Linked DNA regions of Mus musculus: regions 1, 2, 4 and 5 are each reported to be linked to region 3. Evidence: microRNA targets listed by miRTarBase, many of them from high-throughput screens and not tested one by one. Region 3 holds a microRNA gene; each other region holds the end of a gene's coding sequence.

Evidence for each region. Region 3 holds the annotated microRNA mmu-miR-150-5p (UCUCCCAACCCUUGUACCAGUG, at 2,215-2,236, shown strand). A microRNA usually pairs through its seed, bases 2 to 8, with sites in the 3' UTR of a target mRNA and lowers its output. Matches are read on the target gene's strand: a 7mer-m8 pairs with bases 2 to 8, a 7mer-A1 pairs with bases 2 to 7 and ends in A, and an 8mer does both.
Region 1: the mRNA of Chek2 is a reported target of mmu-miR-150-5p. Seed matches in the 3' UTR shown: 7mer-m8 at 4,134-4,140.
Region 2: the mRNA of Ybey is a reported target of mmu-miR-150-5p. Seed matches in the 3' UTR shown: 7mer-m8 at 2,353-2,359.
Region 4: the mRNA of Pla2g2d is a reported target of mmu-miR-150-5p. Seed matches in the 3' UTR shown: 7mer-m8 at 2,712-2,718.
Region 5: miRTarBase lists Dkc1 as a target of mmu-miR-150-5p. Seed matches in the 3' UTR shown: 7mer-m8 at 3,523-3,529.

Annotation. Positions count from the first base shown.
Region 1 is chr5:110,871,828-110,877,841 of GRCm38, reverse strand. It overlaps Chek2 (checkpoint kinase 2), which reads right to left. Exons shown (of 15, transcript NM_016681.4): 14 at 5,735-5,815; 15 at 3,702-4,362. The coding sequence ends at 4,276. Among named protein-coding and RNA genes, the nearest start is that of Ttc28, 5.0 kb to the left of the region's middle.
Region 2 is chr10:76,458,601-76,464,614 of GRCm38, reverse strand. Ybey (ybeY metallopeptidase) reads left to right here. Exons shown (of 5, transcript NM_172550.4): 4 at 290-358; 5 at 1,296-5,048. The coding sequence ends at 1,382. It overlaps 2610028H24Rik (RIKEN cDNA 2610028H24 gene), which reads right to left. Exons shown (of 8, transcript NM_029816.2): 8 at 3,397-4,128. Among named protein-coding and RNA genes, the nearest start is that of Mcm3ap, 7.3 kb to the left of the region's middle.
Region 3 is chr7:45,119,548-45,125,561 of GRCm38, forward strand. Mir150 (microRNA 150) reads left to right here and starts at 2,210; the gene lies at 2,210-2,274. Rps11 (ribosomal protein S11) reads right to left here and starts at 4,842. Exons shown (of 5, transcript NM_013725.4): 1 at 4,750-4,842; 2 at 3,872-4,003; 3 at 3,616-3,691; 4 at 3,282-3,411; 5 at 2,841-3,011. The coding sequence starts at 4,764. The coding sequence ends at 2,888. It overlaps Snord35b (small nucleolar RNA, C/D box 35B), which reads right to left and starts at 3,564; the gene lies at 3,478-3,564.
Region 4 is chr4:138,778,432-138,784,445 of GRCm38, reverse strand. It overlaps Pla2g2d (phospholipase A2, group IID), which reads right to left. Exons shown (of 4, transcript NM_011109.3): 2 at 5,661-5,805; 3 at 4,991-5,097; 4 at 2,394-4,198. The coding sequence ends at 4,053. It overlaps Gm32871 (a long non-coding RNA gene), which reads left to right and starts at 4,082. Exons shown (of 3, transcript XR_390866.3): 1 at 4,082-4,412.
Region 5 is chrX:75,106,938-75,112,951 of GRCm38, reverse strand. It overlaps Dkc1 (dyskeratosis congenita 1, dyskerin), which reads right to left. Exons shown (of 15, transcript NM_001030307.2): 13 at 5,702-5,780; 14 at 4,648-4,773; 15 at 3,176-4,256. The coding sequence ends at 4,191. It overlaps Mpp1 (membrane protein, palmitoylated), which reads left to right. Exons shown (of 12, transcript NM_008621.3): 10 at 551-753; 11 at 951-1,025; 12 at 2,109-3,219. The coding sequence ends at 2,285. Among named protein-coding and RNA genes, the nearest start is that of Gm25520, 8.5 kb to the right of the region's middle.

The sequences.
Region 1 (6,014 bases), not on the chromosome of region 3:
AATTGTCCTGCAGGTGTTCCTGTGAACTCCTGAAACAAATTCCACTTTTTATGAGGTAAAGTGCAGGCCACAAACAATGTTTCCATTTCTAAGCATCAAAGGATTGTCACAACAGCCAGCCTTAGGGTATGTAAGAAGTCTTTGTTACTTTTGGCAGTTCAGGGTTCATAGTGATGTAAAGAGGCCAGAAGACACAGAGCTTAAGAGCACCTGTTGCTTTTGCTGAGAACTTGGGTTCAGATCCCAGATGATTCACAATTATCTATTTGTACTCCGGTTCCAGAGGCACCAGTACCCTCTTTCTTCCCTGTACATACAGGTAGGCAATACTCACCTACATAAAATAAGTCTTAAAAAACTTCTTCTCTCCCCTTCTCCTCCTCCTTCTTCTAATTTTATGTGAATGGTGTTTTTTGATGTCTGTCTATGCACCACCTGCATGCACAGTGCCCACAGAAGCCAGAGGGTATTGAGGCCCTAGAACTCCCAGCCGACCATGGGGTTACCAGGGGAACCCATATATCATACACTCTGTGTGCATTATTGGAACTACTAAATATATATATTTTTTCTGATTCCAAATTGAATTAAAAAGAAAAAAAGGATAGGGGAACCTAAACCACAAGCAGTGCCTGTTGGCATCCAAAGACCAGTTTTGCAGACCCACTCCAAACTCAGGATGTCACACATAGGTGTCACCTGTTGCTATAGCTACCACATACCTTCCCAGAGCCCTGCTTCCCACACTCACCTGGGTACCCCCTTTCGCTTTTTTTCTTTTCCCCTTTGTCTTTCTCTCTCTCCCCTCTCTGTCCCCAGTAAAACCTCTTACACATGGAACTGCTTTGGCCTGGTAAGCAATGTCAGACACTAGCTGCTATTCTAACACATCAGTACCCAAATCCCTTTGCCCCCATCAGGGCTGCGAGAGAAGCAGGTAGCTTCACCAAGGCCATGGCTCCCTCATTCCTGGACAAGGTAGCTAGGACAAGGGCAGGGTCTCCCCGACAGTTTGAAGGGGTGAGGAAAACCATAATAAAACATCAAATAAATTGAACAGGAGTCCAGCCAAGGTCCCAGCCAGAGCAGAACCTGACTGGGGGAGGGGCCTCTGTAGGCTCATGGATCACTGCTGCTGCCACCACCACCACCACCCTGGAAGCCAGTTATTTTGCCATGGCCTTGATTGCAACAGCAGCCGCCTCCTCTGTCATAGCAGACAGCACTGTGATCATGGATGGAGTTTCCAGGGGAGCTCTGTGTGCATTATTGGAATATTACTAAATGCATTTTTTTTATTTAAAAGGTCTCAAAATTAAGATGAGTTCAACTCAAGATGGAGTTTGCTTTTGGTTTTGGTTTAATGTTTGGTTTATGGAGACAGAGTTTCTCAGTCCTGGCTGTCCTGGAACTCACTCTGTAGACCAGGCTTAGCCTCAAACTCAGATCCACCTGCAGCTGCCTCCAAGTGCAAGGATTGAAGGCGTGGGCCGCCACCATGCTGCTTAGCTACAGTTTTGAGGTACCATAAGGATGTTGGGAATTGAACTCAGGTGCTCTTGGAGGAGCAGCCAATGCTTTTCAACTTTTTATTTATTTATTTATTTTTGTGAGTCTCACATTATGCACCTGCACCCCAATCTCACTCATCTCCCCGTCCCTTCACATCCCCCTCTTCCCTTGCAACTTCCCCACAAACACACCCCATGGAGAGCATTTTGACACGGACACTATAGTGTGCCAGGGTGTGTTCTACAGTATACCTACCCTCTTGTCCACACATCTTGCAAATGTTCATTGCATTTAGTCACTGGTCTGGTTTGAGTCTTCTTGCTTCTGCAACACTATCAATACTGGATCCTCACAGGACTCCTCTTAGTTATCCTGTTGTTGGCCTGGATCATGGAAATCCTGCAGCTTTGGATCTGTAGGACCAGCCCTTGCACATGCTCCAGCAGCTCATAGATGAATTAGATTTTGGGGTGGGACAACTCAAAGCGCTGGATCTGGGTGGTAGCTGAGACAGATGGCTAGCCCACCAGCTCTCTCATATCTGCACCACCAGGGCAAGCTTTCTAGCACTGCCCTTGCTAGCTCACCCAATACTGCAGCTGGCAGTGAGGGGCTGGGCCAGCTCTCCCACTCACTCCCTCAGAGCTGGCTGTTGCCCAGACAAGGTGCAAGGCCACTCTCCCAAGTCCTGCCTGTTCTCATGACCTAGGACCTGCCTCAGGTGTTGAGGGATGGGGGAGGGCATCTCCACTGCACCCATGTCCCATCATGGCAGTGGGGCCAGCTCTGTGCTGCTCCTGCAAGGTGGAAGGCCTGCTCTCCTGATTGCTGCAGCCAGTCAGGGGTGGGGCCAGCTCTGGATATCTGGATATCAGCCCTTGGATATCTATGAGGTCTCTCCCACACAGCAGCCCAGACCAGGGAGGTCTGCATGGTCTATGTAGTAATATGATCCAAGAAATCAACAGGCCCCTGCTACTACATGACCACAGACCCAGACATGACCCGCAGTGACAGCATGACAACCAATGCTCTTAACCACTAGAGAGACATCTCTATCTCCCCCCTTACTTCTCTATATGTCTACCACATGGATGGCTGGAGGACCCAATTTAAAGCAGCACTCTATCACCTGCCTAAAACTGTTGGTGGGGTGGGGGTGGGGGAGATATTAATATCTGAATTTAATGTAGCCCCAGGAGTTTAGAGATGTAAACTGTACAGGACTGAGCATAATTTCTGTGTTTTATCCATTTTTTAAGGCAAAAGTCTCACTATACAGTTCAGGCTGCCCTCAAAGTCAATATCTTACTATTTCTGCTTCTCAAGGTCTGGGATGGATTACAGGAGTGTGAGAACCCTAAGGGATATGAATTTCAGACTGGCCTATAACAGGCAGCAGCACCATGGGCTCCTTGGCAGCCAGCCAGTACAAATCACCCAACATCCAGATGCCCTTTTCTTTCCAAGGGACTGAGTGTGTGTGTGTGTGTGTGTGTGTGTGTGTGTGTGTGTGTGTGTGTGTGTGTGAGAGAGAGAGAGAGAGAGAGAGAGGGAGAGGGAGAGGGAGAGGGAAAAGGAGAGGGAGAGAGTATGTTTAGAGAGAGAAAAAGAGTTTAGAGAGAAAAAGAGAGTTTGGAGATAGAAAGTTTAGAGAGAGAAAAAAGTTTAGAGATGAAAAGAGAAAAAGTTTAGAGAAAGAGAAAGAAAAGTTAAGAGAGAGGGAGAGAGAGGGAGAGAGTGTGTTTAGACAGAGAAAAAGTTTAGAGATAGAAAAAAAGAGTTTAGAAATAGAAAGTTTAGAGAGTTTAGAGAGAGAAAAAGAAAGTTGGGAGATAGAGAAACGAGAGAGAGAAAGAGTTTAGACAGAGAAAAAGTTTAGACAGAGAAAAAAAGAGTTTAAAGATAAAAGAGAAAGTTTAGAGAAAGAGATTGTTTCTCTGTGTACCCTGGCTGTCCTAAAATTTGCTCTAAAGATCAGACAGGCCTCAAAGTCAACTCAAACATTGTCCTGCCTCTAGAGTGCTGGGATCATAGGTGTAGATTACCATGGCCAGTGGGACTTGGACCTTCTAAGGGACTTTTAGAATTTGTATTTAGACGGATGAGCCTAAAACCAGAGTGACATCCTGATAGGGCAGACTGGCAATGTGAGGATCCAGATGAAAAGCCACAACAAACTACTAACATTGTTTTAGAATATTCTTTTTAATGATTATGTGTTTCTGTGTACATGAACACATGTGTAGTAGGTGACCAGAGAGGCCAGGTGAGGGCATCCGATCCAGAAATGTAGTTACATGGGTGCTGGGAACTGAACTGCAGCCCTCAACAGGAGTGGTGTTAATCTCTCAACACCACCCCCTAACATTTTTCTTAAAATGAAAGAAAGAAAGAAAGAAATCTAAAGTGCAGGTCATCAAACAATCAGCCCAGATTTCCACGTTTTTTAATCGTGTATCTGTGATGGAAAAGCAATTGTTCCATCATATAGGCTATTTTGTTTTGTTTCTTGTTTGTTTTTTTTTCCAAGACAGGGTTTCTCTGTGTAGTCCTGGCTATCCTGGAACTCACTCTGTAGACCAGGCTGGCCTTGAACTCAGAAATCTGCCTGCCTCTGCCTCCCAAGTGCTGGGATTAAAGGAGTGGGCCACAACTGCCTGGCTATATTTTTTAAAAAATATATACATATAAAAAAAAGATGTCAAGATGGAGAAGACAATTGGAGCGTGGAAGGAAGCACATTTCTTTCACATTCAAAGCTCACAACACAGCCCCACACACAGACAGGCGTTTTGTGCTCGGCATACCCTCCACCTCCAGTTCCAGGGGCCGCTTTTGACTGGAAGTCTGGAAATAAAGCAAAAGGAGAAGTGTTTAAGAGAAAGCACAGCTTCTATCAAAGCTCCTCATAGTTCAGTAAACTAGGGGCATTTCATGGAAATGACTAGTTGTCATGACAACCGAATCCTCCTCACACACCTCTGGAATCAAGATGCTTATCCATGCTCCCTGGCGATTTCTAACCACTAATAAATGTACAGCCACTTAAAAAAAAAAAAAAAACCTTTCAAGTGACACAAAAGCAAGTTCAAATTGGATCTTTCCTAGCAAAATTCTGGGTGAGGTATGATTGTAAAGCAGCCAGAGCTCCCGGCTCCCACAGGGTTACCAGGGAGCTCACACACGCTACTGTGCCACACCAGCTATTATCGTTAAATGCACTTTCTATTTAAAATGCCTCCATTTGAGATGAGTTCCTCAGAATATGATCCCACCGTAGGCTGAAGTATATCCGAATGTGGACAGCAGGCAGCACCAACAGCTTTGCTTGGTTGCTGTCTCCTGACACTGTCTACTTATAGCTACTTAGACTTTTCCTATTCATAAATTCAAGAAAGAACAGTAAGGAAAAAGGATCGAGATCACTGACCAAATATACCACTGATCAGGTATAACTTACAAAGAACTTGAAAATGATAAAACTGCAATCAAGAAACTTCCTCTCCCAGCACTTGGGAGGCAGAGGCAGGCGGATTTCTGGGATCGAGGCCAGCCTGGTCTACAGAGTGAGTTCCAGGACAGCCAGGGCTACACAGAGAAACCCTGTCTCGGAAAAAAAAAAAAGCAAACCAAACCAAACCAAACCAAACCAAACAAGAAATTGCCTCAATAAAACCATGGTAAAGCAAAACTTTTACTTTCTAACAACAGAAAGTTTAAAACAGAAACCATCATAGACTACTTACCCAAGTCTTACACTTTCTGAAAACTTAAATTCGTGCCTCTAACAGGATCTTCCGTCTTCCGTTAGATTGGCAAGCCCTATCTAATGTTCCAATTCATTCAACATATCCTGCGTTATTAAGTCTTCCAGGGCTGCAGGAGCATATCAAAACAAAACGCAGAAACACTGGCTCGGGCTGGAGGGCTTACCTAAGCAGCATTAGGCCGCAGGTTCAATCCCAAGTACGGCCAGCAAGTAGAGACGATATTACTACATGATATTATGCAAGCAAGCTGGCCTGTGGGTCCCATTCCTCCTGCCTCTGTTGAGAGTCAATGCCCTATCTCAGCCTTCTAAGAGTATATGTATGTGTCACTAAGCCTGCCATTAATCCTTTTCTTAAAAGCTGAGCACCTGCCTCCCCACGGAAAGTTCAGTCATCAGACTTGCTCATCGGCAACTTAATCCTAGACCACAGTGAAGTCATCAGAATACCTGGGCGGGAGCCACAGGGAGGGTCACCGAGTTCTTTTCCTGCACCAGGAGATCCTGAAATTTCTTCTTCATGTACTCATCCTGTGAAGAAATCAAAAGGTATATAGAGATAGGCTGCATATAAGGCAAAGCAAGCTCCCAGAGTGACAGGGAAATGCCCAAGGCTACCTTCCTGACAGCAAACCTCATACCTTTGCAGAAGTTTCCTAATGAAGGGACTTGGCTGTTCGCCTCTGCCTTCTTGGAACAGTCTGTGCTCAATCAGCACTCGCTACATCAA
Region 2 (6,014 bases), not on the chromosome of region 3:
ACCTGGTCTCAACCCCAAACAGTGTTGCTCCACACTAATTAAGTGAACTGAGTGAATGAATTGTTCTGTTTTAGACAGGAGGCGATAGAGGTTGGGATGTAGCTCACTGGTAGCACTTGCCTAGACAGGAGAGAACTGAGTATTAACTCCAACCCAGGGCAGCAACTGTGTATCCTGCCCCAGGGTCCTGGCGTAGGACAACTCAGTCTTACAAGGGTCCTCTGTGAGCCCGAAGGGGCGGCCGTCTGGTAGATCATCCCCTGAGCTGACTTCTCAATTACTCCAACAGGTCACAGCCACCCATGGACTCTGTCACCTGCTGGGCTTCACCCACAGCTCCAAAGCCGAGTGGCAAAAGGTAGGAGGGGTACCTGTGCAAGGGGCTACCCCAGATACACCCTTAACCCTTAGGCTGCTGCCCAGCATTCCCCTCCCCCACCTCGAAACCCCATGGCAAGAGGCCGAACTACAGCCTCCATCCATCCTGCCTGGAAAGGTGAGGTCTTGTATTGAAGGCTCTGGCTCCTCATGATACTTCACTCCTGAAAGGCACCCTGGACAGGCAGGTGAAAGTTAAATTCCCTGAATGCTAGCTATTATCGATGGGGGTCAAGGGACACTTAATGTTCAGAAAAACATACAAAAAATAAAAAATAATAAAAAAAACCCTTACCCATCAGTTGGCAACAAATAATGCTAAGTCATGGTTTTTTTCTTCTAACGGCCAATGGGTACCACACTTAAAGCCCACTACGTTGTCCAATAGGCTTGGGTTACGTTTGTAGGTAATGTGTGTGCTGGTTATCTGCAGAGGCAGAGGAAGGAGTAGATCCCCTGAAACTGGAACTACAGCTGGTTGTGAGCTTCCTGATACGGGTGCTGGGAACCGAACCCAGGCGATCTGTGAGAGCAGTGAGTGCTCTCCACTGCTGAGCCATCTCTCCAGCACCCATGAATGAACTTTTTTTTTCAAATTAAAAGTAGATCGCAGTCTGCTTCTGCTACCACCCAGCCCTGTCTATGCCCACTCCCTCCCTGCCCCACACTTCCCTGGGCCCCATGTGTACCCCAGCTTCTCCCCCTTCCTTTGGGAGCCCACTCCCTGCTGTCCTGTCCTTTGATCTTGCATCTACCTACAGCTCTCTGAGTCTCTGTTCAGGTGCTGCTGATAGACTTGTGCAGAGCCTGGGGGAGCGGCTAGGGGGGCTTCAGAAGGAGGTGAACCCTGGGAGGACTCGGACTCGGGACAAGGGTCCCCAGAGTCCCTCCAGAGCTTGTGCTCTGCTGTGTTCCAGATGTACAACCAGGAGAAGCTGGTGCTGGAGGAGCTGAGCCGCTACACGGGAGCTAGGCTCCAACCCCTGAGCAGGGGCCTCTACTGATGCCACAGAGCTTTGAGACAGAGAACTTGTTGGACAGAGTCCCGTCCCTCTGCAAGACTCCAGGGAGCCTCTGCTTACCAGGGAGCCCCTGAGTGGACCACGTGGAGCCGGAATAGATGCAAAAAGCAAGAGGAATTTTTGTTCCAGTGCACTGGGGTCTTCCCAGACCCGAAGGAGAGGCGGCGACCCCCAGCACCCATTCAGGGAGTTTTTATATGGTTTCCAGGGGCAGAAGAGAGCATCAGCAACTAGGCACAACGTGATTGGCGGAGCAGTGCACCCTTTAAACTGATTGGTCTTTAGGGAATGAAGTGACAAGGACGTCCCTTGTCTGAAGGTGTCCTGCAGGATGTGTCCCCACCCACAGGGCAGTTCTGCCCTAAGGTCTGAGAAATGTTAATTAGCCTCTTCCTTCTGGAGGGGCAAGTGTTTCATGACCTTCCCAAACTTCCTAAGCTGGCCTTTTTACCTCCACAGTGGATCTCTGCTGGTCCTGTTGCCCTGGAGGGCCTCAGCCCACACTACAGCTTCACTCTGTGAGTGGACCAAGTACCAAGGAAGTGCCTGTCAGCCCTTACTCTGATTAGAAATCTATGCGGACTCTGTTGTAAGCAGAATCAGGCGTTCTAAGAGAAGAAACATGGACGCTCTTGTGCTTCTTTGGGTTTCTAGCTGTAGAGTCTGGGCAGATTGCCTTGTCTCCCTGAAGTGGGAGGAACGTGCCAGAACACTGAAGCCTGTTCTCCTAGGAGGAGGCGCCTGCAGACCAGCAAGCCCAAAAGGACACCTTGTGCCCTCGCCTTTCTTAAGCTGTTGGCTGCAGACACCACGGGACAGCCCACAGACCTTGTCTCCTGGGGCCAGAGAGTCAGGAGTGTCCCCCATCTGTGTTGCTGTTTGTAATTGTTTTAGATGACCTTTATTTTATTTGGAGCAGGGCAGTGGTGGCACACGCCTTTAGTCCCAGCACTTGGGAGGCAGAGGCAGGCGGATTTCTGAGTTCGAGGCCAGCCTGGTCTACAAAGTGAGTTCCAGGACAGCCAGGGCTACACAGAGAAACCCTGTCTCGAAAAACCAAAAAAAAAAAGGATTTTATTTGGTGTGTGTCATGTGTGGGTACACATTTCCCACTGCGGGGGGTGGGGTGGTCAGCTGGGGGGAGATGTCTCTCTCGTTTATTATTTTGTCCCCAGAGATGGAACTCTGGTTGTCAGCCTTGCCATCCCACTGACATCCTGCAGGCCACCGTAGTCCTGCCACTGGGGCTCCCCTATTGGCTGTTAGAGGCATGGTAGTTCTGCTCAAGGCCTGGAACATGGAATTCTGGTGACCTGAAGTCTAGTTCAAAGCAACATGCAAATGTCTGTGCAAATCTGGATCACGAGAGTCTTCCCAGCAGGTAGCCAGGGACCTTGAACCTAGATAGGGTTTCCTGACCCCTCTGCTGGGTGTACCCGCATATACACCTATGCCAGCCTGTTCCCTTCTTCTCGGCCATCTAACTGGTTCCTCGCCTTTGAGCATCCTTAAGGAATGACTGCTTCTGTGCCCTTCATTTTTCTATTTCCCTTTTTCTCTGCTTGGTATTTCTGGTTTAATTTGGTGGGGTTTTTGGTTTTTTTGGTTTTTTGGGGGGTTTTTTTGTTTTTTTTTTTTGTTTTTGTTTTTGGTTTGGTTTGACCTTGCAGCTCTGGGCATGGAATCCAGGATCTTGTCAGGCTTGGCAAGGCTCTGCCACATTCCCAGCCTGTTGCTCAGCTGCCCTAAATCTGTGGGTTGGTCAGCAGCTGTCTCTGAGTCCAGCCACATTGTTATGATGACTCCAAGCCTGAGGGGGCACTATCTGCCCTGTTCCAGGAGGCACAGCATCCTCACTTGGGGCTTCCTCACTTTGTGTTTATTCCAGATTTCATTTCGTCCCTCACTTCCCTGAAGGGCCTGTGATGTTTTTTAATTTTTAAAAAAGATTTACTTGGGTATGGGGGACTTTTGGTATAGCATTGGAAATGTAAATGAGCTAAATACCTAATAAAAAAAAGATTTACTTATTTTATGTATATGAGTACACTGTAGATGGTTGTGAGCCATCGTGTGATTGCTGGGAATTGAACTTAGGATTTCTGCTCGTTCCGGCCCTGCTCGCTCCAGCCCAAAGATTTATTAATTATATGTAAGTACACTGTAGCTGTCTTCAGATAAACCAGAAGAGGGCGTCAGATCTCATTACAGATGGTTGTGAGCCACTGCGTGGTTTCTGGGATTTGAACTCGACCTTCAGAAGAGCAGTCAGTGCTCTTAACCGCTGAGCCATCTCTCCAGCTGGGGCCTGTGATCTTGATGAGAGTTTCATGGACTCTGTGGATTGGCCGCTCACACACTTGAGCCATCTTTAAAATCTCTGGGGCGTACTGTGCATCTTCTCAGAGTAAAGTTGTGCACAGTGGTGCAGTCCCTGTCACCACTGTTAAGGGGCATGGCCAGGAGAAGCTTTTCCCTGAGTCACTGGGGACCCCCTAAGCCCACTACAGGGCCTGCTCAGACTCTTTAGTCTCCCACAGGTGGTCCTCAGACAGCAGGCTTGAAAGGGACGGGGAAGACTGTGTGTGAGGGTGGGTCCATGTACACTCCCATAGCTTCCAGAGGCTGATGGTGCTCCCAGAGCCAGGATGCTCCCAGGCTACTTCCTCCTTGTTAGCCCAGCATTGCCAGGCCATCTGAGACAAAACATCTGCCAAATATCTTCCTTCTATCAGATCAATAATCATATGAGAGGAAAATCGTGTTAGAAACATCATCTAGGAAGGAAATTATGTGAGCTCTTTAACTGGTGCTTTTAACAAAACCAAGTTTCTCTGGAACCACACCCCAAGGCGCACTGAAAGACAGGTCTGTCTTTATGGATTCTTCTCTACCTGATGGGCTGGGGTGGAGATGGAGGAGAGAGAGCAACCATCCAACCCTCCCGGAGTGAACAGTGCTTTGTAAACAGCGTGTGTAAATACCCATACTTACACAGCCTGCAGTGCCCACGTGCATGCATGTGGACCTCACATGTACCTGGGCCTTGTTATGATTATAAAATGTTATAAGTATGAGTATCTTGCCTGTGTGTATTTATGTGTGCACTCCTGATGCCCTTGGAGGTCAGAAGAGGACATTGACTATCCTGGAACTGGAGTCACAGAGAGTTGTGGATTGCCATGTGGTGCTATTGAAAGAAAATAAAACTTGAGTCCTGTGATTCATGTAATAGCCCAAAGAGTTGTTTGTGAGCTTTGAAGCCTGGGACTGAGAACATAGCAGAACAGGCCAGGACATGCCTGGGCAGGCCCATCATTAAGACATTCCTGAGGCTGCTTGGCCATAAAGATAAAGAGAATGCAAAGACATGTCCAGACTGGCCTGGCGCCTCCCTATCTCCCACCCTTCTGACATGGGTTAAATGTTAACCAGATGCTCTGCTGTTACCTCCATCTGCACATACACTCTGCTGATGTTTAAATGAACCAATCGTGTGAAACCGCGCCAATTCCTCCCCCAGCCCCAGACCCTTTTCTATAAAAACCCCTAGCTTTCAAGCCTAGTGGTCGACAACCGCAATCTCCTGTGTGAGATACATGTCGGCCCGGAGCTCCGTCATTAAACTACCTCATGTGTTTGCATCAAGACAGTCTCTCGTGATTCCTTGGGTGCACACCAACTCGGAATTGAGTGGGGGGTTTCTCCACTAGGTTCTTTCACTATGACTTAAACCTGAGCAACAAGCACTCCTAACACTTAGCCACTGAGCCAGCTCTCTAGCCCTTTTTTGTTTGTTTGTTTGTTTTTAGAGACAGGGTTTTTCTGTGCAACTCTGGCTGGCTTAGAACTAACTATATAGACCAGGCTGGCCTCTGCCTCTGGAGTGCTGGGACTAAAGATGTGCACCACCGTGCCCAGTTTCTTATTTTCTTTTTAATTACATTTAACCAGCCACAGGGGCTGGGGTCCAGGCACATCCCATGCAAAAATGGAGGCAAGAGGCCAACCTGTAGAAGTTGGTCACCTACCACCACCACCTAAGCCCCCATATCCTGAGAATAAAACTCAGTTATCAGACTTGAGAGCAAGCACCTTTACCTGCTGAACAATCCTGTTAGCCCTGTATATGCCCTGTATTATTATTATTATTTCTTTCCTCCTCCTCCTTCTTTAGAAATATCTATTTCATGCATGAGGACACTGCCACTGTCTTCAGACACACCAGAAGAGGACATCCCATCCCCCATTACAGAGGGTTGTGAGCCACCATGTGGTTGCTGGGAATTGAACTTAGGACCTCTGGAAGAACCTTTAGCGCTCTTAACTGCTGAGTTTAACTCTCAAGCCCGGCCCTGAAGTCATATCACAAATTCTTCAGCTTGCTTCTTTCACATTAAAATGAAGTCATTCCAGGTATGGCCGACAAACACAGTCTTCCCCAGCTACAATATTCGACTTCCCCTTGCTTCATGTGGGGGCGTGTGTAGCACCCATCCAGGGTATAACACAGAGCCTCAGACTGTCTGAGCTATATCTCCAGCCTGTTTGACTTTTATTCTAGCCTTCCATAAGAATGTCAAAATGTATATGTAGCCATAATGATTTATTCTG
Region 3 (6,014 bases):
CTGCCTGCCCTGTCTGCAGTTGGTGGGCCAAAGTCTGCTGTCACTAAACCAGGACCCTGTCCTGGGTGGTGCTGATGCACATTTTTGATCCCAGCATTTGGGAGGGAGAAGCAGGAAGTTCTTTGTGAGTTTGAGGCCAGCCAGTTCTACAAAGCAAGTTCCACAACAGCCAGAGCTACACAGAACCCTGACTCCAAAACAAACACCCAAGACCCTGCTGAGAAGCCTCACCCGCCCAGAGCCAATGGCTCCTCTCTGGTCTTCTCACCAGGCATGATTCGCTACAGAATCTTCTAGAAGCATACTTAAATGACTTCATCAAGCTTGCTCTAGAAGACACAGGTCCCATAACCATACATAACCTCTGCAGCTACCTGCCAAAGGTCATTCTCCTGGGGCCATAGAGTGACCTACCTGCACAGCTAGCTGCTAGCGTGGCCACCATTTACAGATGAGGAGACTCAAGGTCTATGGCTGAGTGAGCAGTGAGGCTGGTCAGTGCTGAGCCTGTCTCAGAACACCTGGATCCTGGGGCACCTCCTCACAGTTCCCACTTCCAGGGACTGGCTGTGCAGATATATACAGCCTTTGCAGCCAACAGGCAGGATGTAAGTTTGACAGGAGACTCAAGGAGGAAGTGTGGGCTAGTGAGCTGGTTCAGTAGGTAGAGGTATTTAAGACAAAGCATCATGGTCTGTTTGACTTGTGGAACCCACATGATGGAGAGAACTGAATCCTTTGACCTCTACATGGGGGTCTGTGGCAGGCACACACACACTCACTCACATTAGTATTTTCATTTTTGGAAGAGGTTATCACTATGCAGACAGCCTGACTTCAAACTCTGAGATCTGCCTGCCTCTTGAGTTCTGGGATCAAAGACGTGTACCACTGCTGGGTGTGGTGACACACACCTTTAAACCCAGCATTTAGTGGGCACAGTTTTGAGACTAGCCTGGTCTAAAAAGCAAGTCCAGGACAGTCAGGGGTGTTACACAGAGAAACCCTGTCTTGCAAAACAAACAACCAAAAACCCCAAAGATGGGTATCACCATACCAGGCTTCGTTTGAAACAGGTCTCTTGTGCCCTTAAACTGCTGATCCTCAAGTGTCTACCTGTCAAGTGCTGGATTGCAACTGCATGCCCTTTGTGTCCCTGAGGTGCTGCGGATGGTCGCAGGACCTTGTACTTGTTAGAAAAGCCCTCCACCATGGAGCTACAACCCCAGCCCCTCGCTGTCTGATTCTAGGAAGGCACTACACCTTTGAGCCACATCCCTAGGTCTTTAGTCTAAGACAAGGTCTGTGTTGCCCAAACTAGTCTCTGACTTCTGACAATCCTCCTGCCTCAGCTCAGCCCCCCTGGCAGCTGGATTATCACCAACGTCTACATGTGATTGGAACTGGATATTAGTTACTAAGTGAAAACTGGTGCCTGAGACTAAAGGCCCAAATGGGCTGTGTGTCACCTGGAATCTCAGCACCCAGGAGCCAAGAGGTGAGGAGAGTGTGGTCAATCTGAGGCTAACCTGGTCTACACAGAGCTCCAGACCATCTAGGGACACACAGCAAGACTCTGTAAAAGTCATATAAAACCATGATGCCTGGAAGACATTTCCACCGGGAGAGGTGCCAGGCGTGGCTGGCACTGGGGTTTGACAAACCAGAGTGCAGTAGGGGAAGTGCTAGGCTCTCAGGCAGTGTTCTTCATTTGTGCAAAGGCCTAAGAAGACAACCTCCACTCTGCAGATGACTAAACTGCTGAGGGGTCGTCAGGGGTCTCTCTTCTCTCAGGTGTCCCCTCCCTCACAGACTCTGCAACTTTGAAAGGTGAAGCCCCAAGCACCCCTGAGAGGAAACAGGGGAGCTGGGCTGTTGTAAACACAGCCCCACCCGGAACGGAAGCACCTGCGGCTGGAGGGGGCCACACCTCTCAACAATTGGCTTTAGATTCCTCAGGGTCCCTGTCCCCTGTAGCTCTGGGGCTCGCCCCTCCTCTGCTTAGTGGCTCTACTCCTGGGTGGCTGGCAGGCACCCAGCTTGGGCGGTGCCCCTCCTGACCTGTCCCTGCCCCTTCCTGCTCGCTTTGATGCAGGCCCACTTCCTTTGACAGGAACCCCCTCCCTCAGCAGCCTGGTTAAATGCAGAAGGCCGTGGTGAAGCAGTGCTTTCCGCAGCATCTCTTGCAGGCAGAGGACTCTTCTCAATGCCCTGTCTCCCAACCCTTGTACCAGTGCTGTGCCTCAGACCCTGGTACAGGCCTGGGGGATAGGGACTTGGGAACCCCAGCAGCAACAACTCCAGCTTCTCCCTCCAGCCAAGGGACTTTTCCCCAGGTTTGGCCTACATACAGGGGATGCCTTGGGTCCCTTCCTAAGTGGGTGTTCCCATCACTCCAACATCCATCCTGGACAACCTGGGGCCTTCTTCTCATCTCACTGCTGAAGGGTTCCTGTCCTTGTTGGCCCTGTCCCTGGACATAAGCCAGAGGGGAGGCAGTGGCTACAGGGGTTCAAGCAGATCATGATACTCAAGTTGGAGAACTTGCCCCTTCCTAGGTGTCTTCACCTGCAAGGTGAGTATGGGAAGACCAGAGACCCAGGTGGTTCCCAGGGACACTGAAGAGCTCAGACCTAAACTAAGGTCAGAGGCTCCACCCTTACTTCCTCCTGAGAGGCAGGCAGAGCAGGGGCTGCCTGCACCAGGTAGCTGACCCTGGGTGTTCTACTTGGTTACCAAGATTTAGAGGCTCATAAATGCAGCAGATACCTCCAGCTCAGGAAAGCCCTGGCAATCTTTGCTCTGTCCCAGGACACATGAGACTCCAAGCCTGTTCTGTACGTTGGAAAATAACTTTATTTGTTCTAGGGCATTGGCCAGAGTCCCCTTAGAACTTCTGAAACTGCTTCTTGGTGCCAGCAGCCTTGGTGACCTTGAGCACATTGAATCGCACAGTCTTGCTCAGGGGCCTGCACTCTCCAACTGTGACAATGTCTCCGATCTGTACATCCCTGTGGGGTCAGACAAGGAGTCTTCAGGAGGGGCCTCCCCAGCAATTCCTTCATCCAGACAGGCCAAAGGGGTGGGGGCCACCCTTGCTCCACCCAACCAGTCACCATCTACGCAGTTGCTAAGACTAACAAACTACAACTTCTAGTTCCCAGACGTTCACACAGCAGTCTACACACTCCTGGACCCCACACTGCTCTGCCCATGGGACACCTCCAGCCTAGCCAGTGACTGTCTTGTCTAGAGTCATTATCCCAAGCTACCAGAGTCACCTGAAACAGGGGGACAGGTGCACAGACATGTTCTTGTGACGCTTCTCAAAGCGATTGTACTTTCGGATGTAATGGAGATAGTCCCGGCGGATGACAATGGTCCTCTGCATCTTCATCTTCGTCACGACACCTGGGAGAGTAACAGAAAGGTGTTAGCAGGTAGGAGTCAGTTGAACGGGGCTCCCAAGAAGCTCCATTTATGGCATCAGCTTTGTCAACTGGCTGTCTCAGCAGTGCCCTAGAGGACATCTGAAGACCATCGTGAGAACAGACATCACTTGCCAGCGCCCCTGGACGCAGGAACCTAGAACCACCCTTCCAACATCCCACTCACCAGACAGGATCCGACCTCGGATGGAGACGTTACCAGTGAAGGGGCATTTCTTGTCTATGTAGGTACCCTCAATAGCCTGCAAAGTTAAGAAAGTGGGGTTTAGATTACCACTTCCTAAACAGAACCAAGGATGACGCCTCAGGGCCCATACTACAATTCCCAGGGGCCCATGGGAAGCCACTGTGAAGGGGGCGGGGTGGCTGTGCTCCCACACGTGCAGGGCAGCAGGGATCTCATCTGCTGGAGGGTCCTGTACCTCTTTAGGCGTCTTGAAGCCTAGACCGATATTCTTGTAGTACCGAGGGAGTTTTTCCTTGCCGGTTTCTCCCAGCAGAACCCGCTTCTTGTTTTGAAAGATCGTAGGCTGCTTTTGGTAAGCACGCTCCGTCTGTAGGGATGAGAATTTGGTGAGGTTGCAGGTAAAGTTCAAGGAAATCAGAGACAATATTTCTTCCTTCCTACCTTCAACCTTATTTGCCCCAATCGCCAAAACCGGCTGGTCAGGGCTCTCCAACCACCCCAAGTCTAGTTTAGCTCACACACTGCGTCCCATCTAACACCTCCACAGCCTGCAGAACTCACGGCTGAGATCAAAAAGAGCTTTTCAGCCAGACTGGACCTCCAAAACATACAAATCCACTCATTCGGGATTCAAGCTTATGTCCACGTAGCCGAGCCTGGTGGGCCGGATCTGTCATCCCGGTTGAGGTTGAGGCAGGATGGCAAGTTTAAGACAAGCCTAAGCTCATCGAGGCCAGAGCTGCGCTCACACTGAAAACTACAGCGAGGTCGGGACCGCAGCCCTGCCGTAGAGCGCACGAGGTCCGGGCCTCAGTCTCCATCAAGGGGAAAAAACCTGCTTTACCCAGTGTCCCCGGCTCTGCCGCCGCAGGACTCCCGCGCCGCAGGATGCCCTCCTCCCGCCACAATCCCTCACCCGTTAAGCTCTGAGCTTTAAGAACCAACTCCCGAAGCGCCAGGGACCCCATTACTGCGTAGAGCCCGGATTTCCGAGCCGCCTGAGACGAAGGCATTCGCAGGCATCCTCGCTTCAGCTAATGCGTAAGACAACGAGGACGCCAAGGGATACGCTCCACACCGAAGCGTCGGGGGAAAGCAACTAAACGCTCGAACCTGAATGTCCGCCATCTTCCCGGCCGCCGGAGAAAGGGAGAGGCAGGGCCGCTCCCGGCTTCCTTATTCACCACGCGAGGTCGGGGCGGAAGTGACGCGGGGTTATCCTCACGGAGGTGGGAGGTACTTCCGGCGAGAGCCCGCGTTCCTGGGACTGTCCGTACGCCGCCATGACGGGGGAGGACTAAGGGGCGGGAAGATCCTATCATCTCGCGAGATTTCAGGAGCACGATGTGGAGGAAACGTGCATCATGTGGTACGGCGAGGCTTAGGGCGGAGAAGGCGTGCCGTACGGGTTGGGAAACACGTGCTGGGATTCAGTTTCCAGAGAGAAGCGGCCGTGCAGAGCGGGTCTCAAGAAAGGGGTGAACCGCTTTACAGCAGAGTATCTGCCATACGATGTCAGGAGCAGCCAGCGTCGACCGAATAGTCAACCTTTCTTCCTTTTATTAAAGGCCGACGTCACCAAGGTCGCATGTCCTTTGTTGACAGTATCTCAGGCTGCGCGTCTACCCACACTTTGATGGGTTTATGTCCTGACTACTCGTGGATGAGTGTCTAACCTTAGGTGACCACCCCAGGTAATAGAGGAACCATTTAGCCAGGTGGCAAAAGCTTGTGTCAGTTTCTCGTATTCACCGTTCTAGCCCTGCACAGATGGGCTAGAACAGTATAAAGCATATTTTCAAAATAGATTGACATTTTGAGTGGTGCTGGATCTTTTTAACCCCAGCACTCACGGAGGCATAAGGACTTGGCTTCCAGGTCAGCTAGCTGTAATAAAAACTCTAGTGGTGGTTAACATGGGAAGCATTTTTAAGATTATATGTAAGTACACTGTAGCTGTTCTCAGATACTCCAGAAGAGGGCATCAGATTTCATTATGGATAGTTGTTAGGCACCATTTGGTTGCTGGGATTTGAACTCGGATCCTTCGTAAGAGCAGTCTGTGCTCTTAACCACTGAGCCATCTCGCCAGCCCCCGGAAGGATTTGATGTTTAAAGAACCAGAAGACTCAGGCGTGGTAAATGCCTTTAGTCCCAGCCTTTGTGTCATGGCCTGACCTCCTACAGTCCAGGTACCAGCTCTTGTATCTTGGTGCTGACTTACAGTAACACCATCTAGGACAGGACCCAAGATGTATATCTGCAACTTTTGAGCAACAAAGCCTATCCCGTGAGCAAGGATTCACCCAAAGGGGCCCCCCATGCAGATGACCTGCTGGTGCCCTCTGCCCCTCTCTGCACAGCACACATCGTACACA
Region 4 (6,014 bases), not on the chromosome of region 3:
AAACAGGGTTCAGAGTGTCTGGGAAAGAATTCAAAGAAGCCATGGAGCTCAAAGACCTCACTGAAGGTAGAGGTTGAGAGCTGGGTGAGAGCCAGTACAGAGACAGAGGCATTGAGGTGGCCCGCTAAGATACTCAGAAGCTGATGGGAGGGGGCATTGGAGGCCAGCGAGGCAAGACAAGGATCTGGCCACAATTCAAGTTTTCTTAAGCTACCCACCAAGATGGCTATAGTATTAGGTGGCCTTCCTTCTGTGAGGTCCAGTGGAGAAGGTTGTAGTCCCTTACTTTCCAGGTCTGGTGTGTTCTATAAGTTCATGGTAATTTTCTGTTTGGTTTGGTTTTTTTCCTCTTTGAGTTTGTAGCCCAAGTTAGCTTCAATCAGTAAGTGGTTAAGTGTCTTAGTCAGGGTTCCTATTCCTGCACAAACATCATGACCAAGAAGCAAGTTGGGGAGAAAAGGATTTATTCAGCTTACACTTCCATACTGCTGTTCATCATCAAAGGAAGTCAGGACTGGAACTCAAGCAGGTCAGAAAGCAGGAGCCGATGCAGAGGCCACAGAGGGGTGTTTCTTACTGGCTTGCTTCCCCTGGCTTGCTCAGCTTGCTTTCTTATAGAATCCAAGACTACCAGCCCGGGGATGGCACCACCCACAATGGGTCCTGTCCCCTTCATCACTAACTGAGAAATGCCTTACAGCTGGATCTCATGAGACATTTCCTCAAGGGAGGCTCCTTTCTCTGTGATAACTTCAGCTTGTGCCAAGTTGACACAAAACCAGCCAGTACATCAAGGATGAACTTGAACAACTCCTCCTCCTCCTCCTCCTCCTCCTCCTCCTCCTCCTCCTCCTCCTCCTCCTCCTCCTCCTCCTTCTGGTTTTTCAAGACAAGGTTTTTCCTGTGTAGCCCTGGCTGTCCTGGAACTCACTCTTTAGATCTGATTGGCCTCAATATTAGAGAGATCCACCTGCCTCTGTCTCCTAAGTACTGGGATTAGAGGTGTGAACCACCATCACCACCACCAACAACAACCGGCAACTTTGAACTTCTAATCCTCCTGCCTCTACCTCCAGAGTGCTGGGATTACGGTTGTGCGCTGCAATACCTCATTTTATTTGTTGGTGAGGGTTGAACCCAGGGTTTCATACATGCTAGGTAAGCACTCTGTTGTCCGAGTTACATCTCCAGATTAATATGGCTGATGTCTTACCCCTTTCTGATTTACCTTGTAGTTCCTCTGCAAGACTCTCTCCCAGGCATGAGATAAGTATTTATCATTTTGTGCCTTGCGTCTCTTGCTGAACAAGGTGGTTTCTGTGTGTGTGCGCAGTAAGATTCTGCCATCTGGCCAGAGCATTTGCTCAATAGAGGGAGCTGCTACTTTGTAACTGCTCTAGACAAGGCACGGGCTTTCAAAGCTGATGTCCGCAGACCATCCAAGTGTGGACCACGAGCGGAATCTGCACATCTTCTCAGGGACAACTAAATTCATGGAAGTCTAAACCAACCAGGGTATCCCTCCTCTCTTAAGCTAGCTCAGGCTCAGGGGGGCTCGTCCCTAGGGGAAGTTGGCTTTGTGGTGGAAGAGGCCAGGCCACTTCAGTGTCTAGAGGTCTGGAGAACCATGGCTGCTATTGGAGCCACGGAGAGCCTGCCCAGGAGGAAAACTGGCAAAGTGAGTGAGCGTAGCCCAGCCAGGGGCAGGAGAGAAACCAGGCTCTGAAGACATCTTCAAGCCACCAAAGAGGCAAGCCGGGAGCCAAGCTCTCCTCACCCTACCCCCACCATACCCCCAATTTCCAGCCTCCCCTTGCTTTCTTTTTCTCTTTTTTCTCTTTCCTTTCTTTTAGTCATTTTCTTGTCTCAGACTTAGACACCATCATGCCTAGCCTGGACGTCTTTCTCAGCAGACTTTAAAAATAAATAAAGTGACGGTTTTAAGTTCATTATAAGCTCCGTCTCCAGCACAGTTTCCTGCTCTCGCACCCCCCACCCCCACTAAAATGAGCATTTCAACTGTGGGGATTTGAACCCAGAGCCCATAGCGGGGACTTCTTTGTACTCTGCCTCACTGGGGTTTTAAGAAAACTTCTCTGTCTTGTTATGCTGAGTCACAAGCTGGAGGGTGTGGGCGGTTCTGGTTCCCTCAGCCCTGAGGTTGGAAACACAGCTATTCACACAAGAATAACAGATGTTCTTTGAAACAGTTGTTGCCAGGCAAATAACTGCCGGACCTGCTGGATGGGATACCTTTTGCCAACCTATGTTCTGTTTCAGATGCTACTTCAGCTCGGCCAACCATGGGGACCTTGGTGACCCCTGAAGGAGACCCTCTCATAGTGGGGCTCCCTCCCAGACCCTGAATTAGTCACAAATCACATCCAAAGACCGGTTTTCACAGAGAGACCTTTTATTAAGCGGTGAAGAAAAGTTAAAGTGGCTATTTTCTGACTCAGACAGAAAAACAGCAGCAAATGACCTTGCAGGTGTAATTTATAAGAATCGGGAAAAGGGGAGGTCTGTGTTAGAATGGGCTGGGTGCCTTGGTATGTTTTGATTGGGCGTATTGGGTGAACCAAAGAGGGCCTTTTTTTTTTTTTTTTTTTTTTGATTTTCGAGACAGGATTTCTCTGTTGTAGCCCTGGCTGTCCTGGAACTCACTCTGTAGACCAGGCTGGCCTTGAACTCAGAAATCCTCCTGCCTCTGCCTCCCAAATGCTGGGATTAAAGGCATTCACCACCACTGCCCGGCCTCAAAGAGGGCCTTTGATTGCTGGACTTCAATACTTTGATAGGGGACCTTGGTAGTCAGCCTAAGGAGGAGAAACTGGCCAAATAAGGGAAGAGACTTTGGGGGCTAGCTTTAGGAATGCAATCTAATGTTTTGTTGTTGTTTTGTTTTGTTTTGTTTTGTTTTGTTTTGTTTTGTTTTGTTTTAGCAAGGCAGAGAGAATTGGGGAAAAGGGGAAGGCCTGCCAGAGCCATGCTTGCCAGGTCTAGGCTAGCTAGAGTCCCTTCAATGCCAATAGCTGCAGGGATGAAGGTAGGCTGGGTCAGTTTGAGCCAGAAAGGATACTCAGCAAAGCTATCCCTCAAACCCTAGTCCCCCTTCCATGTTCATATGGGAAGCTGATCTTCCAAGAATTCTGGCTCCTGAATCTGCCACTAATGAACACACTTTCCTTAGCTGCAGCAGCTAAGGAAAGTTCTGAGGTTTGTAATTAGGCCGGTGGTTCTGGGAGGGAGAGAGGTCATGGAATTTATAAATGTTGCTAAAACGTGTTTCCCCAGAGGTGGAGCCTGAGTCAGGGGCTCTTGTGAAAGTTGTTTATTAAGAGGGCTCTTTGGAGAAAGTTTCCAGAGAAAGAAACCAGGCCTGGGATGAGACAAAGTACTGGAACATCTATCATCCTGGTCTCAGGAGAAATGTGGGCTGTGATGCCACCCAGACAGTCCAGCCCAATGATGTCCTTAGCGCTGGGGAGAATGGCTAGCCAAGAGAGGCTTCCAAAGGACGGCCCCGGAGCCTGAGCTATTATGCAGCAAGAGATCCCAGCGAAAGCACAACGGGCAAGAAACAGCAGGCCAAGCTCCAGGACCCACCGAGTGCAACAAGACTGCAACTTCCCCCACCCTTAAATCCCGTTGTTGTTGGAGCCCATAATGGGCTTGGTTCTAGGGGACTCCTGAATCAAGGTACCACCAGAGGGTACCACTGAATCTGAAATGGGGCAGGGCTGAACCTAGAGGTCTCATAGCTTAGTTGGGGGAGAACACAGCATCAGAGGGCTGAGCTCTGACCTTGGTCCAGAAAGACCAGAGTTTGAAGGGAGAGGAGTGTCACCGTTAGAAAGATCAAAAGGGTCCTTTACAGTAGAAAGGCACCAAGAGGAAGTCCTCAAGGCCAGGCCCTTTTGCAAGGAGACCTTGAAAAGCCAGCTGGTCCAGGAGACTAGACACCAGAGTGGGAGGCAGCAAGCTGCAGGACTTCAATGCTTGAGATGTCCCAGGACAGGGTGGAATCCAGGGGACAGACAGAGTGGACTCCCTTAGCATGCTGGAGTCTTGCCTTTGCAACGGGGCCGCCAGTAGTAACGCAGGCGCTTATTGTAGCTATCCAGGTTTTGCTTCAAGCACAAGGCCACCTCCTTGTCACAAGCACACAGTTGCCTTTCACACCAGCTCCCGTTGTCAGCTGTGGGCAAAAAAAACAGGAACGGCTCAGCATGTGTCCCTTCCCGAGACTGCCTGTGGGGTGCAGAAGGGGTCCTGAAACCAACGTGGTGCTTGGTCATCTTTGGAGATAGCCTCTTTGATTGGATACTCTGTTACCTAATCTCGCGTCTGCACACTGAACAACCGTTGAGCACCGTTCCGGGGCTTATGCTAGAGGGAGAAAGCTGAACCAGGTGAGCAGGTGGGAAGGCAGGAGGCAGAGGGCCACAGAGTGAATGAACATGGCCAAGCAGAAATGTGGGGAATCTAAGCCTGTAGGAGGATTAGGCATGTCAAGGAGCCATCCCCAGCTCAGACCACCGCTCCTCCTGAAAGCTGGGGTTGCTAGCGTCTCCACAAGGAGAGCATCTGTGTTAGCTTCCGCGCGTGCGCAGTTCCATTAACCTTAAGGTGAGGTGTTACAGGGCCTGATCGTGGTAAAAGGAAACAAGACCATGTTAGGGGTGCCTATGGGTCCCTCATGAGAATGGGTGTGGCCAACACCTCCTGAAGTTCTTCCTGTTGGCTTGGTCGGACAGATTACAGAGGAGGTCATGGCATTTCAGGGAGGTTAAACAGTGCTGAGCGCACGGCTGACGTCCCCTTGGTCCTCTCCATACCTTCACCTCCGCTGCTCCTCACTGCCCACCCCACCGAGAAGGAACAGCATCAGGTGTCAAGTGCTTTATGTAGTAGCACACTGGGTCTATGGAGGCAGAGGAGGACAGGACTTCCCAGGTCCAGCCCTTGACCCACAACCCTGGGCACTCACAGCACTGGATAGTGCCCTGGGAGATGCTGTATTTGTAGTTGTCTGTCAGGCTCTTGCATCCATCGATCTTCAGGTGGGCATAGCAACAATCATGCTTCTGACAGCACCTACAGGGAGAGGCAGGCAGGGAGCACAGCTGTGGGAGCCACTAGTCAACAAGGTCTCTATCTCCCCTCGCACTCTCCAAATGCCCACCAGGGGTGATCAAAAACATTGGGGTTCCCTGAGGTCATGAGAGCTGCTGTTGGTCAAAGGTTCCCATGGTTGTTCCAGCCACCTAATCTTTTAATCCCCGTGACTACCCCATGATGGGGTGCTGGGGTCACCCCCTTTCCACAGAGGAGGAAACAAAATTCTGGGGGTTGAGACACTTGGCCAAGGTCGTGTGACTTCTCTGGCTGGCTCTCAAAATGGTTGTGAAAACCCAGATGAGAACAGGCAAAGAGTTTGGGCTTTGGAAAACATGTGTAATGGTAACAGGGGGTATGTTAGAGCTGTTAGAGCTTGGTATTCTGTGGAACCTTCTAGAAGGCCCGTTCCAAGAGGCTTGGGACCAGATTAGCACTTAGTGCCCTAGCATGTAGTATGTGCTCAGCAAAATGCATTTGCTAACTGAATCAGTGAGTATAGAAGGAAGGAGAGTCCCAAGTAGGCCAGGGAGGGGATTTACCAGTCTGTGGCATCTTTGGGTTGCCCTTTGCCACCAAGTCCACAGTGACAGCCGTAGGGCCAGTAGCTGAAGAAGGCTTTCTTCCCCGTCATGTGTGTGACCATCTTGTTCAGGTTCAGGAGCCCTCCCTGGGTTGCAGTTATACCTGCCAAGCAGCCAAGCAGTGAGGAAAGGGGTGAAGTGGGGTCCCAGGGGCCCACGGGTGGTGGGGGATGGGATGGGAGGGGAGGGCAGAACAACTGTGCTGGGCAAAGCACGAGACTTGAAATGATAGCATTATCAAATAGCGGCGATTGCTCCTGCCATTTAAAAGGTGTCGGCTTAGGTAGTGTAGCTTAGTGAGAGAGTACATAC
Region 5 (6,014 bases), not on the chromosome of region 3:
AAAGAGGCTGGGAATATATAATTTATCTCTGCACTAGAGTGTTACTCTTAACATTTTAACTTTTTTAAAGAATTATTTATTACTCAGTATTATTATACAGTATTATTATGCAGTGTGTGTACTCATGCCACAGCATGTGTGTGTGTGCACTCATTTTATAGCATGTGTATGGAAGTCAGAATACAATTTATAGGAGTCAGTCCTTTCCTTCCACCACATGGTTTCAGGTTCTCAGGTTATGAGCCTTCTGTGGCAAATGCTGAAAAATTGCCAGCCCCAACATTTTAACTTTTTAACAAAATGTTTAAACAAAACCATTGTGTTCTTTCCATGTCATAAAAACAAAACAGTGCTGGAGAGATGGGTAGGTGGGGGTATTGTATCTGTACTACCTTCCAGTACCAATCCTTCAGTTCATGAGAAAAACATCTCTATTATATTATCTGCCCCAAAGATGGGTAGAGTTTCCATATAGACATTTTGAGTCAGTACACTAAAAGATAGCAAGGACCAAGAAGAGCTCATCAAGGATTTGAGTTCTTATACACAGATACAACACGGCCACCAAAGAAGAGTGAGGAAGATGGGAAGGAGTATCATTTCATCTCAACAGAGGAGATGACGAAGAACATCTCTGCCAATGAGTTCTTGGAGTTTGGCAGCTATCAGGGCAACATGTTTGGCACCAAATTTGAAACAGTGCACCAGATTCATAAGCAGGACAAGATTGCCATCCTTGACATTGAGCCCCAGGTATGTAGGCATAAAAGGGCAGGAACAATGGTTTCAGCCATGTAATGAGGGACGTGAGCTCCTGGAAATCTTGCTTCCTAAAGTTTTAGTGGGGTCAGCATGATACAAATTGGTATTGGGATTTAACACTTATTAGAAGGAATACATTCTGACAGACAACTGGGTTGTTTGTTTCTCCTTTTCTTCCCTTTTCCTAGACCCTAAAGACTGTTCGGACAGCTGAGCTTTCACCTTTCATTGTGTTCATCGCACCTACTGACCAGGGCACTCAGGTGGGAAAGGGGTCACATGGGTGGAGGTCCACACCTTTTAGGTCATTGTCAACTGTTTTTTCCAAGGCCAAGAAGACAAAGGGCATGCATATTTTATTCATTCCAGAGTTATTCAAGAGATTAGTTATTAAATAATTCAATTCTAGTCATAGTCCTGAATGAACAGTTCTAATGGCTGAGACGGACAGTTAAATAAATCCTATTTCTTATATGATATATACTGATGTGAAGCAAACAGAAGGAGCTGTGAAGGATGGAGGTGGTACTAGATCCATCACAGGGTGCAGTGTGGCTACAGTGGGAAAGGAGCCTGCTTGTAAAAGTGGCTGTTTCCTCTTTAACATCATTCATAACATTTTTAAAAGAATTGGTTAACATTTTAGAAGAATGGCATTTTCACTTTGTTTTACTATAAAAGATTGTTTCTTACTATTGAGAGTCAATCACTGCAATTGGGAGGTGAAAGGAAGAGGATCAGGAGCTCAAGGCCAGTCTGGAGTTCAAAGGCAGTCGAGTCAATAAGACTGCCACACACACTTATTAAAAGTTATTTGTATTGCTTGTATATCTGGCCATATCCTTAGCTCATGTTTCCATTGAGTTAGTGACTTCATCTAAGAATTCTATATTATGGTACTTCCCTGTAATGAAAGTTACAAATATCCCCACCACCACTATGACACATATTTCTCTATCCTTTTGCCTTTATGTAGTTAACTGACCATTGGAGCCAGAGGCTTGAGACTTGTCAATAAACTTTCTCCCTTATCCTTGGATTATAGCTGTAGTAGTTGCTAAAATGGCTTTTCCATAAACAAAGGGCTAAAACTAAGTGAATGCTAGTGAAGGCTGTGCTAGGTAATTAGGGTTAGTTTGGCATTCATTAGAATAGTTAAGTGGTTCTCAACCCCTTTGGCAAACATTATATTCTTAATTGGTTACCTAGCAGATACTAGGCCACAGGATGGATCACCACCATGCAAAAAAACAGATGGGGAACCAGTTAATGTAAACTTGTTTAAATCTTCCCTTTGCTGCTGTGATTAAAGACTGCTGCTTCATCTATGGCTTTCTTCTTTGCAGACTGAAGCCCTGCAGCAGCTGCAGAAGGACTCTGAGGCCATCCGTAGTCAGTATGCTCATTACTTTGACCTCTCTTTGGTGAATAATAGTGTTGATGAAACTCTTAAGAAATTGCAAGAAGCCTTTGACCAGGCTTGCAGTTCTCCACAGTGGGTGCCTGTCTCCTGGGTTTACTAAGCTTACAGAATTGGCAAACATGTTTCAGCCAGCATTTGGAATGCCACCTCCCCGCACCCCCTCCCTTGCTTAAGCCAAAAGGGTTGCTTCAACTTTTAGCTCTGCTGTTTTCTTACTCAGGCTCCTAAAGGGGTGAAGCTTTCCTACTATCTACATTTCAAAATGATCTCTGGAAAATTGCCATAAGAATAACCAAATGCAATGCTACATAGATAAACCAACTGTCCCCCTGAAGCCTGAGCTCCTTTGCTTTCAACTATAGAATGTCTTTTTACTCTGGAATAAATATCTTCTGAAAACTTTCTAAAATGCCAAAATCAAACAGCTGTGCAATAGAATGTCTGCTGTAGGGAAAATCTTCCAAAGCAATAAAAATGCTGCTGTGTTAAAGTACCCGTGACCCTGTAACTCCATTCCCAATCTTAACCTTCCAAGCAATGACATTAACATAAGATCTCTGGGAATTACCTGTCACTGCCTCTATAGGTCTGGTATTCACAATGCACAAAGGCGTCTTCTCTAGGACTTGTTAAGTCGTAAGAGAATGGTTTAAAACATGTTACAAAAGCAGGGGCTGTTTGGGCATTCTATACCTGCCTATGCTATTAACAATTTCCCCTAAAACTTGTGTTTATATTCTTGGTTTTGGGCACATATTTAAGCAAAGTTCCCTGCTCCCTCTGCAGTCAACACCAAAACTGGCAGTTTCCTACCTGGAGTACCTCCAACCTCTTCACAAGCCCAGTACAATATAAATGCATCTACCCCTTTCCTCTTAACCCTGGATTAGTAATGATCTCCCTTGAGAGCAGATAGGCCCCAGTGCCAATGTAAGAAAGACTCAGAATTAGGAAATTTAAAAGTAGCCAAAGGAAAAGCAAATTCAAAATAGGACATAAACCTCAGACTTTTAATAAAAATATTCTCTCACTTTTGTTGCCAGTCCAAGATTATCATAGTAAATCTAACAGGAATACTTTTTAAAAAAAAAAAAACTACAAATTACATTCTTCAGCAATGAACAATTCCATTCTGAACAATTCCATTCTTTTTTTTTTCTTTTTTTGTTTTTTTGTTTTTTTTTTTGTTTTTTTTGTTTTTTGGTTTTTTTGTTTTGTTTTTTGTTTTTTTGGTTTTTTTTTTTTCGAGACAGGGTTTCTCTGTATAGCCTGGACTGTCCTGGAACTCACTCTGTAGACCAGGCTGGCTTTGAACTCAGAAATCCACCTGCCTCTGCCTCCCAAGTGCTGGGATTAAAGGCATGCGCCACCACGCCCGGCAATTCCATTCTTTAAAAGAAAACAAATAGGAAGGTACAGGAATGCTTTGGCTTCCATAAGAAACACAAGTAGCCATATAGAGAAATCCTGTTGTACACAAAAATACAGAGTACTAGCCTAAATATCATAGATACCACCAGGCAAGGTTAATACCTGAATAGAGCAGTCCTCATAGAACACTGGAGATAAGAGTCCCCCAGTGAACATAGTTCAATTACATTTTTTCTCTCACAGAAGGTTCTATACCATTTTATGTAGCAGATTTAATTTTTACCAACTTTTTAAAAAGCAAAGTAGGAGAGGACTATCTATGGCATTGTTGAAAATGCTCATTAGTAAATAGCTGCAGATAGTTACTAGGCCATGCCATGTCTAAAGGTGTGGCTTCCTCAAGCAAGCAGAGGGGTTGGTGGCAAAGGCCTGATTTTATCTCTCATATCCTTAAAACAGGACAGGATGGGATGAGATGGCCACACCAGCTAACCACTGAGGTCACAAGTGGCAGCTAAAAGTATACCAGAACTTTCTACTCTGGGACCTCTGTTCTCCCTCAACAAAAAGTTTTTCCAATAAGGCTTTTCTTTTTCTTCCCAGCTGGACATAATGCTTCCAGAAGTGGCTTAAACTATTCAGACATCTCTTCTACCACTTTTACTTTCTTCTTCTTTTTCTTTTTGGTGGTGTCGTTGTCCTAAAGAAAGAGAAAGTAAAAGTAAGTTCAATGTACCCACTGACAAAACATTTATGACTACTGTTCCCAAAAGAAATCTGACAAATTGCACAGTCAAGTCTGTTCAAAAATCTAAGACATTTGGGGTTAAACAAATTTTGCCTGTGACCTTCTCGGTGAAGTCTTAGAGAGATCTACTTAATACACCTTCCCTACCCAGCAGCAACATAATTCAACCATGATCCACTGTTCTGAAAGGCTGGGTGCCCCTACTTCTGTGTCCAAGAAGGTAGACAAGGCAAATCTAGAACACAGGGCAGCACCAAAAAAGGCAATGGTAGGAACCCCACTCTCGCACAATTCCTGTCAAAGACTCAGCTGACACAAAGGCACACCCATGGTTCACACATACCCCATCTCCAGTTTCGCCCCCACTTTCTAGCACAGTTTTGGGCTTCTTATCCTTCTTCTTCTTCTTTTCCTTCAACTGGGGAACTGTTGGGGTCTCATCACTTTCACTCTCACTATCCCGCTTCCTCTGTGTAAAAAAAATTCACATGAAGTTAGAAATGTAGGAAGTTACCAAGAAAGATTCCACGTATATTCAATGGTTTTGTGTCTATAAACTTGAATAGTGTCTGATTTTCTAAAGATTTGAAGACAGTATCTCACTAAATAAAAAATATAGTAAGCCATGGGGCATGATGAATGTGCCAAAGCAGCGTTGCGTATAAAAGACCCTGAGAAATTGTCTCAGTGAGCCAACTCCAAGACTTAAGGTGCTCTTTGACAACTTGCAAGTTCCACCCATATAGCTCATTACTAGTCACTCAAGACAGCAAACATACCATTTGGGGCTCTAATGACAGTGGCCCCCAGCCTTGGTTACTACCACATGCTTCACTCTTGTCCTTTAAACAGTGAGTTAGCATGGACTAGAAATATTTTTTTGGTTTCTGACAATTCTGTTCCTCCTGAATTTCATTGAGGCCTCTGCTTTCAATACACTTATGCTACCTATTTAACCCAGGGTAGAGTCAAAATATGTGTGACACATTCCACACAAGGTTATTCCACTCCACACTGTGTCACAGTGGAGGTAGGAACCAAGGTAATTGATTCTTAAGTCCATACTCCCCCTACCACAGACACAACACAAATGCTACTGAACCAAACAAACATCCTCAAGTAGGAGATAGTGTGTGTAGAGCACTGCATGGATAAGCCTGCCTTACTTGCTAGGACTTGTGGCTAGACTACCTTAAACACTGGTGTATCTCTTTAAGCACACTTCTTTCTTTCCTTTGTTGTTTGTTTTTGAGACAGTGTTTCTCCATCTGTCCTGGAACTCACTCCTGTAGACCAGGCTGCTTTACTTCTGTCTTGGAAGTACTGGGATTAAAGGCATTCGCCACCACCCCACCCAGTTTGAAGCAAGCACCTTTCAAACAGATCATGCCACTCACTTTTATGACATTTACTGCTTCAGCAGCTAACTGAGGGGCTTGTACTGCTTCGGTAACCAGTGTGTTCTTGCCAGAATCACTGAAAGACAAAGGTAATATGAGGTTAGATTCATAGAAGAGTTTTCCATGGTGGTCCTATTATATCTTATCATGCCCCTTGTTATTCAATGATACTGGGCAACCCTAAAACCCCCAATTAAAACACTGATGCTAGACAAAAGAACCAACAGTTGGTTTTACAGACTGATTATCTCCACAGTCCATGCCCTGACTACTAGTACTTACTGACCCAGGTTTCAAAGAGCCAAGCAAG